Linked DNA regions of Pelodiscus sinensis. The protein of the gene in region 2 binds, or shares a complex with, the protein of the main gene of each other region. Links are inferred from orthologs where the notes say so. Each region holds a gene or a part of one and is shown on either strand. Other genes may lie near its edges. The genes, in order: MED18, MED8 and MED13.

The links.
Region 1: MED8 (region 2) and MED18 share a complex: the UniProt entries of both Homo sapiens proteins name them as parts of the mediator complex. The link is inferred for Pelodiscus sinensis from reciprocal best matches to the Homo sapiens genes MED8 and MED18.
Region 3: MED8 (region 2) and MED13 share a complex: the UniProt entries of both Homo sapiens proteins name them as parts of the mediator complex. The link is inferred for Pelodiscus sinensis from reciprocal best matches to the Homo sapiens genes MED8 and MED13.

The regions. Positions count from the first base shown.
Region 1 is NC_134716.1:84,449,543-84,453,284, reverse strand, and holds the start of MED18 (mediator of RNA polymerase II transcription subunit 18), read right to left. Parts: upstream 2,438-3,742; 5' UTR 2,299-2,437; intron 2,072-2,298; 5' UTR 2,059-2,071; coding exon 1,986-2,058; intron 1,146-1,985; coding exon 592-1,145; 3' UTR 1-591. UniProt on the Homo sapiens protein: Component of the Mediator complex, a coactivator involved in the regulated transcription of nearly all RNA polymerase II-dependent genes.
Region 2 is NW_027465825.1:11,787-15,528, reverse strand, and holds the start of MED8 (mediator of RNA polymerase II transcription subunit 8), read right to left. Parts: upstream 2,410-3,742; 5' UTR 2,372-2,409; coding exon 2,366-2,371; intron 1-2,365. UniProt on the Homo sapiens protein: Component of the Mediator complex, a coactivator involved in the regulated transcription of nearly all RNA polymerase II-dependent genes.
Region 3 is NC_134731.1:5,977,394-5,981,135, reverse strand, and holds the start of MED13 (mediator of RNA polymerase II transcription subunit 13), read right to left. Parts: upstream 2,760-3,742; 5' UTR 1,092-2,759; coding exon 1,026-1,091; intron 1-1,025. UniProt on the Homo sapiens protein: Component of the Mediator complex, a coactivator involved in the regulated transcription of nearly all RNA polymerase II-dependent genes.

The DNA.
Region 1 (3,742 bases), on a different chromosome or scaffold from region 2:
GTTTTCCTAAAACTGACTTTTTACAAAACCTTAGATGTACAGAATTTTTTAAAATACCACTTTTAAATATCTACAAGCTTCTTCTGCAGACATTTACAAATAGGTAAGAAGCAGAAAAAGGAATTGACTAGAAATCAGAGAAACTGATCAGATTATTTTCATAGGCCCAGTTTACTGAAGTACCTAAAATAAATAGTCTTAAAAGTAAGTTATGTTTTGAGAGTTCAGTTTTGAAAACCAAGTCCTAACTAAGGAAACTAGCTTTTAAAAAAAAAAAATCTATATTTGTTGAAGGGGTAACACCTTTTGCCTGAAAAACTAATTTTCATCTTATTTGTAACACTAGCAGATAAACTAACACCTAAGATTGCTAAGTTAAAAAAAAAAAGTGGGAAAAAAATACATTCCTCTTTTGGCAACAGCGTGCAGTCAGCTCCACTGTATTACTGATTCTGATAGTTGTATTTCCTGTCTCATGAAATAATATTAAGACATCTCTCCTCCATTATTTGGAGAATGAAACTGGTATATAAACTCTTGTCCAGTCTTTGCATGAAGAGGCTGTTAGAACTAGATTATTTGCTGAGTCCTTTACATGAGCCTTTTGGGGTCAATTTTCTCCAGATGAACTAAAGGCTTTAGCTGCTCAGCAAAGTTTCGCATGTCATCAGACACTATGTCTTGTCCTGCTGGAGCTACAACACTCAGCTCCACAAGGTAGGAGAGAGACAAGGGCTCAATGCTATCAGTGTTTCCTGGAATCAGGATGCGAAAGATCTTGTACACTACAATCTTCATGATACCCTTGCGGAACACATGGCCCTTGGCAACAAACTCATGGTCCATGCGGAAGCCCATCTCCACCAGAAAGTCAGTAAGGTTCTCTGATGTGGCAATGTCAACACAGTTGCGCACCAGAGCATGGCGGTTTTTGTCTCCCATTTCTGGCTGTCCCAAATAGCGCAAGTGCCAGGGTGTTCCAGTTTTGTCCATGGAGCGCCGTGCCCTCAGGACAAAGGGACTAGCCTGCTGCCCTTTCAGGAGGAACACCATCTCATGATCCAGAAACGTCTCAGGTTCCATGTTGTCACACAAACCACGCAACCGGTGAAGGAGGCTCTCTAGGCTTTGATCCAAAACACTTCCTGATTTAAAACAAGATAATTATTTCACCACTGAAAAGCTTACTATTGTCACAAAGATTGCATGGTTACTTCCAGCAGTGCATGGGATATCCCAAACTATCTCACCATATTAAAAAATAGGAGCAAATAAGCAAACAATGCTCATTTTTCAAAAAGCAGAGGCTGCAAAAGCTGCAGGAAATATATACACAGTGCTCTTTCTCTGGGAATCTCAAAGCATTTTACAAAAGGAGGATTATTCCCTTATTTTATATTTTCTAGAAAAGGAATCAGAGGTGTACAACACCTGAATGACTTTGCCCAAGATCAGACAGTAAACAACAGTCAGGAAAATAACTTAGTTCTAACTGCTTGAACACACTCCCTACACATCAAGGACCTGAAGGTGCACTGCTGCTGGTTTTGAATGTCTGCATGCTGCACTGTAACTACAACAGCAGCACACAGACGCCAAGAAAGTTAATAACTACAAAGAAGTTTATCACCAAATCGTTCAGAGGGATTTGCCACAGAACCAAAAACTACAAGGGCAAGAGCAAAGCCCAGAACAAGTCTGCACTAAGGGACTATCCTGCACCAAAAAGGAGTTTGGAAAGGGGAGGGGGAGACGGTCCCTAGGAGTTCCTCTTGGAGTCCAGGAGTTAGTGCACGGTCAGAGCCAGATCCCTGCTGCTGGAGCGTTAAGCCCTAAACGTCAACCTCTTCCAGAAAAGGACCTTCTCGCGGTATGGCCGCCTCTTCCCCAACTGCAACGCCTGGGGCGCAGGCAAGCTGGGCGTGTTCAGACGAACCTCGCGGCCTGTGGAACCCGAAATCAAACGCACCTTCCCGCCGTCTTACCTTGGAGTAAATACTCCATCATGTTAATGGTGCCGCCAGTGACGGGCATCATGGTAACGGGCGGGGCCTCCATGGCTTTGGCTTCCCTAGATGAAGCACAAAGAAACCAGGCCCATGACTGCAGCGGCCGGCCAGGCGCGGGGAGCCCCCCGACACGGCGGAGGGGCCTGGGAGGGGGCGCCCCCCGCAGCCCGAGGGGGACAAGCGGCGCAGCCCGGCTCCAGCCTGCGGCTCGGCGCAGGGAGGGGGCGCGTGGGAACCGGCCCGGGAGGGTCCTGGGGCCCCCTGCGCAGGGCGCACGCTCCCCACTCACCTCTAGGGCGCCGCGCTACACGGGCTGCTCCCTCGCGCCCAGCTCCGCTCCGCGAACCCCACCTCCACCGCCCAGGCCCAGCGGCTTCCTGCGCATGCGCCGCAGGCAAGCGGGCGGAGTGAGGCGGCGGGGCGGGGTTCGGTTTAGTGCGCGAGATGCCCCCCCCCCTTTAACCCCGCCCGGCCCCCCTGGGCTGCCCCTCCCCCTCGCCTTGCCCGAGGCGCCCCAAAGAGGCTGAAGTTGGTTCTCTGGCCCAGCTCCTTAGCGAGAGGGGGAAGAACGTTCTGGGGTAAGAGTCACGCGTCAGAAATGGCGCCCAACGGGCGGGCAGGCGCGCGAGGGAACGGTCCTTACTGCAGCCGCCACGCAGCCAGGGCCCGGGGCCCAGCACTGTGGGGCCCACAGTTTCTGAACCAAAGTTAGGCCCACGTCAGCCACGCCCCCGAGCCCCATTCGCCCCACCCCTCCAGGCAGTGCGGCCCGGCCCGACGGCCAAGCGAGCAGACGCGAAGGGGGCTCTGTGACCCCGCTAAGAGCTCTCCCCTGTCCTCCCAGTAGCGATGGGTCTGGCCCCCGCATGCAACTGTACTGCAAGAGCATTCACTTGCATTGCATTAGCGCGAGGGGAGAGGCTGAGGGACTGTTCCCGCTCAGATTTTCCTCCCACAGGCAGAGTGAATTTTGTCTTGTGCATCAGTATTGAGTTCATGGGCGCTTGTTCCCATGTGCAAGGGTGGATGAGGATTTTGCGGGGCCCAGGGCAGCACAATTTCATGGGGCCCCCCCTTGGACACAGCGCATGTGCCGTGCGCAGGGCTTCTTGAAGCGCAGGGCCCGGGGCAGCTGCCCCACTCGCCCTGCCCTATATCTGCCACTGCCAATGTGTGCCACTGTGGCAACCAAGTTATTATTAAATATCTTGTAAACCTCTCCCTTTTCCCTCCGCTAACATGTCTCCCACCCTCCCTTCGCCCCACTTATTCCCCTGGTGCCTGCTGCCCTCCACCCCTCACCCTCCTCTGCTGTCCTAGCTCTTGCCCTTCTCACTCCCCTCAGCCCTTTGGGGACCTACCCCCCTTCTCCTGCACCAGCCCTGTGTCCACTCCTCCTCTAGCCCCACTCTGATCATCCGTAGCTACCCCTCCCCATCCCCTCTCCTAACACCTTCCTCTACCCCCCTGCCCTTCCTCTCTCCTCTGGTGTCCGTCCTTCCCCTCCCAGTGTCTGCCTTTCTGCTTCACTCCCACAATCTCCTGGCACCTGCATCTTCCCTTACCTCTGCGCTTTCATGGTACCTCCCCCTTCCCCTGTCCCTCCCTGGTGCCCACCCCCTCACCACTCTCTGACTCAGTTCTCTTCATGCCCCTCTGTGCCCTCACACATGACTTGCTCCATCCCCTGCCTTCCTTATGCCCACCCCTCCTTTCAATGCCTCTTCTCCAGG
Region 2 (3,742 bases):
TAGTGGCTACGTCTACGCTGGCATGATTTTCCGAAAATGCTTTTAACGGAAAAGTTTTCCGTTAAAAGCATTTGCGGAAAAGCGCGTCTAGATTGGCAGGACGCTTTTCCGCAAAAGCTGATCAGAGCTTTGAAATAAGCCCCGCCACTCCCCCTCTGCCCCTCCCGTCAGAGACCCCCCCCGGGTGCCCCCGCCTCTCCCCCTCAGCCCTCCCGTCAGAGACCCCCCCCGGCGCCCCCGCCCCTCCCGTCAGAGCCCCCCCCCCGGGGCCCCCGCCCCTCCCCCTCAGCCCCTCCCGTCAGAGACCCCCCCCGGGTGCCCCCGCCTCTCCCCCTCAGCCCTCCCGTCAGAGACCCCCCCCCCCAGCGCCCCCGCCTCTCCCCCTCAGCCCTCCCGTCAGAGACCCCCCCCGGGTGCCCCCGCCTCTCCCCCTCAGCCCTCCCATCAGAGACCCCCCCCGGCGCCCCCGCCCCTCCCCCTCAGCCCTCCCGTCAGAGACCCCCCCCCGGCGCCCCCGCCCCTCCCCCTCAGCCCTCCTGTCAGAGACCCCCCCCCCGGGGCCCCCGCCTCTCCCCCTCAGCCCTCCTGTCAGAGACCCCCCCCGGGGCCCCCGCCTCTCCCCCTCAGCCCTCCCGTCAGAGACCCCCCCCCCAGCGCCCCCTCCTCTCCCCCTCAGCCCTCCCGTCAGAGACCCCCCCCGGCGCCCCCGCCTCTCCCCCTCAGCCCTCCCGTCAGAGACCCCCCCGGGTGCCCCCGCCTCTCCCCCTCAGCCCTCCCGTCAGAGACCCCCCCGGCGCCCCCGCCCCTCCCCCTCAGCCCCTCCCGTCAGAGACCCCCCCGCACCCCCACCCCCACCCCTCCCCCTCAGCCCTCCCGTCAGAGACCCCCCCCGGCGCCCCCACCCCTCCCCCTCAGCCCTCCCGTCAGAGACCCCCCCAGCGCCCCCGCCCCTCCCCCTCAGCTCTCCCGTCAGAGACCCCCCCCCGGCGCCCCCGGCCCTCCCCCTCAGCCCCTCCCGTCAGAGAGCCCCCCCCGGGGCCCCCGCCCCTCCCCCTCAGCCCCTCCCGTCAGAGAGCCCCCCCCCGGGGCCCCCGCCCCTCCCCCTCAGCCCCTCCCGTCAGAGACCCCCCCCCCCGGGACCCCCACCCCTCCCCCTCAGCCCCTCCCGTCAGAGACCCCCCCGGCGCCCCCGCCCCTCCCCCTCAGCCCCTCCCGTCAGAGCCCCCCCCGGCGCCCCCGCCCCTCCCCCTCAGCCCCTCCCGTCAGAGACCCCCCCCCGGCGCCCCCGCCCCTCCCCCTCAGCCCCTCCCGTCAGAGACCCCCCCCCCGGCGCCCCCGCCCCTCCCCCTCCCGTCAGAGACCCCCCCCCCGGCGCCCCCGCCCCTCCCCCTCCCGTCAGAGACCCCCCCCCCGGCGCCCCCGCCCCTCCCCATCCCGTCAGAGACCCCCCCCGGCGCCCCCGGCCCTCCCCCTCCCGTCAGAGACCCCCCCCGGCGCCCCCGGCCCTCCCCCTCCCGTCAGAGCCCCCCCCCGGGGCCCCCCCCCGGGGCCCCCGGCCCTCCCGTCAGAGCCCCCCCCCGGGGCCCCCCCCCGGGGCCCCCGGCCCTCCCCCTCCCGTCAGAGCCCCCCCCCGGGGCCCCCCCCCCGGGGCCCCCGGCCCTCCCCCTCCCGTCAGAGCCCCCCCCCGGGGCCCCCCCCCGGGGCCCCCGCCCCTCCCGTCAGAGCCCCCCCCCGGCGCCCCCGCCCCTCCCCCTCAGCCCTCCCGTCAGAGCCCCCCCCCGGCGCCCCCGCCCCTCCCCCTCAGCCCTCCCGTCAGAGCCCCCCCCCGGGGCCCCCGCCCCTCCCCCTCAGCCCTCCCGTCAGAGCCCCCCCCCGGCGCCCCCGCCCCTCCCCCTCAGCCCCTCCCGTCAGAGCCCCCCCCGGGGCCCCCGCCCCTCCCCCTCAGCCCCTCCCGTCAGAGCCCCCCCCCGGGGCCCCCGGCCCTCCCGTCAGAGCCCCCCCCGGGGCCCCCGGCCCTCCCCCTCAGCCCCTCCCGTCAGAGCCCCCCCCCGGGGCCCCCGGCCCTCCCGTCAGAGCCCCCCCCCGGGGCCCCCGGCCCTCCCGTCAGAGACCCCCCCCCGGCGCCCCCGCCCCTCCCCCTCAGCCCTCCCGTCAGAGCCCCCCCCCCGGCGCCCCCGCCCCTCCCCCTCAGCCCTCCCGTCAGAGCCCCCCCCCGGCGCCCCCGCCCCTCCCCCTCAGCCCTCCCGTCAGAGACCCCCCCGGGGCCCCCGCCCCTCCCCCTCAGCCCTCCCGTCAGAGACCCCCCCCGGAGCCCCCCCCGGGCCGGCTCAGCGGGGGGGGGGGGTGCCGCCGCCGCTCCGCTCACCTGCATGGCTGCATCCTCTGAAGACACCGACCCCCTCCCCCTTCTACTTCCGGGTCGGGGGTGAGAGGTCAGCGCGGGCCGGAAGCGGGGCCGGGCCGACATGGCGGGCAGCGAGCGCGGGGACGCGGAGGTACCGACCCGGCTGCGGGGGGGCCGTAGGGCGGTGAGCTGGGGGGGGGCCCGTTGGGCGGGGGGGGCCGTAGGGCGGTGAGCTGCGGGGGGGCCGTAGGGCAGTGAGCCGGGGGGGGCCGTAGGGCGGGGGGGCCGTAGGGCAGTGAGCCGGGGGGGGCCGTAGGGTGGGGGGGGCCGTAGGGCAGTGAGCCGGGGGGGGCCGTAGGGGTGGGGGGGCCGTAGGGCAGTGAGCCGGGGGGGGCCGTAGGGCGGGGAGGCCGTAGGGCAGTGAGCCGGGGGGGGCCGTAGGGTGGGGGGGCCCGTAGGGCAGTGAGCCGGGGGGGGCCGTAGGGTGGGGGGGGGCCGTAGGGCAGTGAGGCCCGGGGGGGGGCCGTAGGGCGGGGGGGCCGTAGGGCAGTGAGCCGGGGGGGCCATAGGGCGGGGGGGGGCCGTAGGGCGGTGAGCTGGGGGGGGGCCGTAGGACGGGGGGGGGCCGTAGGGCGGTGATCTGGGGGGGGGGCCGTAGGGCGGGGGGGGCCCGTAGGGCGGGGGGGCCGTAGGGCAGTGAGCCGGCGGGGGGGCCGTAGGGCAGTGAGCCGGGGGGGGCCGTAGGGGCCGTAGGGCGGTGAGCCCGGGGGGGGGGGCCGTAGGGCGGGGGGGCCGTAAGGCAGTGAGCCGGGGGGGGGCCGTAGGGCGGGGGGGCCGTAAGGCGGTGAGCCGGGGGGGAGGCCGTAGGGCGGGGGGGCCGTAGGGCGGTGAGCCGGGGGGGGCGAGGGCCGTAGGAGGCGGGGCGGGGGGCCGTAGGGCGGTGAGCCGGGGGGGGGGCCGTGGGGGGGGAGGCCGTAGGGCGGGGGGGGCCGTAGGGCGGTGAGCCGGGGGGGGGGCCCGTAGGGGCGGGGGGGCCGTAGGGGGGGGGGCCGCTAGGGCGGGGGGCGTAGTGCAGTGAGCCGGCGGGGGGGGCCGTAGCACGGGGGGGCCGTAGGGCAGTGAGCCGGGGGGGGGGCCGTTAGGGCGGGGGGGCCGTAGGGCGGTGAGCCCGGGGGGAGGCCGTAGGGTGGGGGGGCCGTAGGGCGGTGAGCCCGGGGGGAGGCCGTAGGGCGGGGGGGCCGTAGGGCAGTGAGCCGGGGGGGGCCGTAGGGGCCCGTAGGGCGGTGAGCCCGGGGGGGGGCCGTAGGGCGGGGGGGGCCGTAAGGCAGTGAGCCGGGGGGGGCCGTAGGGCGGGGGGCCGTAAGGCGGTGAGCCGGGGGGGGAGGCCGTAGGGCGGGG
Region 3 (3,742 bases), on a different chromosome or scaffold from region 2:
TTTGCACAGTTTATCTAATGGGGTGTCCTCCCCCACCACAGTTAGAAGATCAGGCTTTGGACTCAGGGTTGCTAAGGAATTTGCAACAGTTGGTACTTTGAAAGACTTACAAGATGTTACTCATACTGAGCTGCAGGCCTGATGCAGCCTTCATACTGGTATCCTGCAGACATGCTCAAGCTGCCCAGATTCCCCTCCCCCAAAACATACAACAGCAAGAACAGTAAGACACAGGGTTTACTTACAACAGTCTCTGCAATAATAAATACCCATCAACCTGATACAAACTAATTTGCATTAAAAGGAAAATGAGATGTCAGCAATCCCCATAGCCACACACAAAAATGCACCATCACCCAACCCAAAACAAGCTGGCTTTAGGAGCTGTCAAAAGTAACAGTTAAAAAAATAAAGGATGTGAAATGGTGCACAAGTATAGGCTGGCATATGCATTTGTAAGAATATCATCACCAAAACCAGCTTCTTACGGAAAAAATTAGACAAAGAAAGCATTAAGAATCCAGGAAAAAGGGAGGATTTAGCTGAGATTTTTTCTGGGGCATCACTAAGGGGGATGAGAAAGCATACAAAGTTTGTCTGAGGAAAGGAGAGTAGTGGAGCTACATACCTTCTGTCAGGACTAAAATAAAAATGTGAGAAGGTAGAGCTAAAAAATTAATAGAAAGCAGAAAAAAGTTGGGGGCAAGCAAACAGAATGGAAAATCTAAGTGTTGGGGTAATATTGGCCAAAAGTGACAAGAGAAAGAGGGAAAGACGGTATTATAGAGGCAACGATGTGGGTGGAAAGGGGGGTGGGGAGGAGGAGGAGGAAAAACAGAGGGACATAGAAAAGCTAGCTGGTTCCAGGCAGGGCCTACTCTGAGGACTCATCCAGCAGAAGCTATACTAAAAATGGCTGCTTTGCTTCCACTACCCCTTCCATCCCCCGCCCCCATCGCCCCCCCCCCCTCAAAAAAAACTCTTTCCCTCTGTGTATAGTGTGTCCGCAGCTGGTGGACACTTACCAGACAGAATAGGTTGGAATGGCAATCCTCCAGGCTGGCCCCGTTCGGCACGAAGCAGGAACTCATCCTCACAGCCACAACCCACACGCCATTATCCCACAGCCTCCGACAAGAAAGAAAGAGACAGACAGAGAGAGAGACTGAGGGGAGGGAGAGACACAGAAGGAAGGGGGGAGGGAGGTTACACACACGCACAAATAATACAATTAAATAAGGGAATTTACCCCCACACACACACACAGAATAGTGTCAGGTAAAATATTCAGAAGGAGAGCGGCGTAAAATGGGCAAGAGTCAGAACCTTTCCTTCTCTTCTGCCAAAGCAGGGGGAAAAGACAACAAGGAAAGGGAAGAAAAAAGGAAGGGGTCAATAATCCAACGATGGGAGATTTAAGATACACAATCCTCCCTGCTCCTCTCGTCTACTCAATCGAAGACCAAGGGGGGAGAATAGGGTAACTGATCCAACAAGGGGAGAGAAGTGGGGTAATTAATCCAATGGGGCAGGAAGTAAAATGGGTTCACGACCCCTCCCTCTTATCTCAGTCGCCAAACGAGGGAGTTGAGGAATAAATAATCCAACAGGGGCAATTAATCCAGCCACCTCCCTGCTCTTCCTCGTTTTCTTAATCGCCAGACGAGAGGGGCAAATAGTGGAATGACTGGGGGATGAGTGGTAGAGGGTTGATAGAGTCCGAAGGGGAAGAGGAAGAAGCGGGGGTGTCAGATTCTTCTCCCCCTCAAAATATATTCCAAATAAATTAAAGATTAGATCAGACAAAAACTTCGGGTTTCAGAAACCAGCTGTTTTAAGGATTCCCAAGACTGGGGTAAAATTCTCCCGGGGTGTACCCCAAATCCGCCAGGGGGGTTCTTCAGAAGGGGACCCCGAAAGCCCCCTCAGCAGCAGTCCAGCGAGGTACGTTTTCGTGTCACCATACCCCCCATCAAAAAAAATCCTCTTATCTGAAGGGTGCAACCAGCCCAACAGTCTCCGTTGTGCGTGCAGATTCTTCGCTGGGGGAGGGAAGGGAGAGACACACCAGGGCGCCCCTCCGAGGCGCTGCGGGGGGAGCTCCCCAGGGGCTGCGCCCCGGCTTTTTTCAGAGCCCCACGAAGTCTCTCCTCAGCAGGGGCCTACCCCGAAGTTGCGCTGACCCCCACCAGACCCCCCCCCCGGAGGGGTGGCGCTCCGAGCCCCACCGACTCGCCGTGGGGTGGGGAGGTCCCTCCGCCGGTGCGAACCCCGCAAGTCTTCCGATGAGAGGTCTCTCGGGACGGGGGGGGCTGCACCCCGCGAGCTCCCTAGCTGGGGAGGGAGGGGCCAAAGGGCGGGCTGGACCCCAAACGCTCTCAACGGGGGGGGGGGCCTCCGCGGGCGGGGGGGCCAACCCCGGATCTCCCCGGCGGGGACGCCGCACCCCGGCTTCTCCTCAGCTGGGGGAGGGGGGCGACGCCACACGCTCCGGCCCCGCCGCCGAGACAGAGGGACGCGGCGGCCGCAGTCGGTGCCCCGAAGCCCCTGCTGCCGGGCCTCCTCCCTCAGCGGTGTCTCTGTCGGCGGCTGCCCGGCCGCGGCATCCTGAGCGTCCGGCTCCCGTCAGCGAGTCGCCCCCATGTCGCGTCCCGGCCGAGGGGGGAGGGGGAAGATTCTTTTCCCGTCTAATTCCGAGCCCCTTTTTCTTTAATGGCGGCCACAGGGACGAGAGTCTAGGGGGGCCCCCCCTTCCGCGCGCTGATTGGCCGCCGCCGCGTCACGTGGGCTGGAGCAGCGATGGCCGCCGTCGAGGTTCAGGGAAAGAGGCTGCAATGGCGCAGCCGGGCCGTGGGGGGCTGTGGCAGCGCTAGGGAGCTGCGCAAGAGGGGGCTCGCTGCTCGTTGAGAGAGCGACATCTAGTGGGGCTCCGTGGCGTGGCGCGGGAGGATGAGCTGCTCCTTCAACACTTCATTTTTACATCGCCTCATTAGCAGCGGGCCCACAATTAACAGGTGCCTCCTTTTTTTCCCCTGTTATAAAATACTTACTTATGCATCAGAGGGGTAGCCGTGTTAGTCTGAATCTGCAAAAGCGACGAGGAGTCCTGTGGCACCTTATAGACTAACTGAAGTGTAGGAGCATAAGCTTTCGTGGGCAAAGACCCACTTCGATGCATCTGACGAAGTGGGTCTTTGCCCACGAAAGCTTATGCTCCTACACTTCAGTTAGTCTATAAGGTGCCACAGGACTCCTCGTCGCTTTTACTTATGCATGTTATTCCTCTCCAGCTCATCATCTGATGAAGTGGGTGTTGTCTACAAAAGTTCATGATGCTATATATTTTTGTGAGTCCCGTGGGGCTCATCTACACTATGGAGACGATGGAAACTGCCACAATTGATCTTCCAGGATTGGAAGTAGCAGGTCATGCTAATTCAAACTGGGAGGGCATGCCCGTCGGTGCTGGTAGTCCTAATGAAGACTAAGGGACTTCAAGGGCACATCTGCTCCTGTATGTCTCTTGCTGCATAGACAAGCACCAAAACACAGTTTAAGATACTTCCACTCCAGCTACATAATAAACGTAGCTGAAGTTGCATCTCTTAAGTTGACTTTCCTCTTTAGCAAAGACCATGCCTAAGGTGTCACAGGACTTCTCATTGCTCCTTTGCAATTAGTTTAAACATCAAAGTCCCGCTTTACCACAAGTCTTCACATTGGACACAGAGTTGAAACCTGT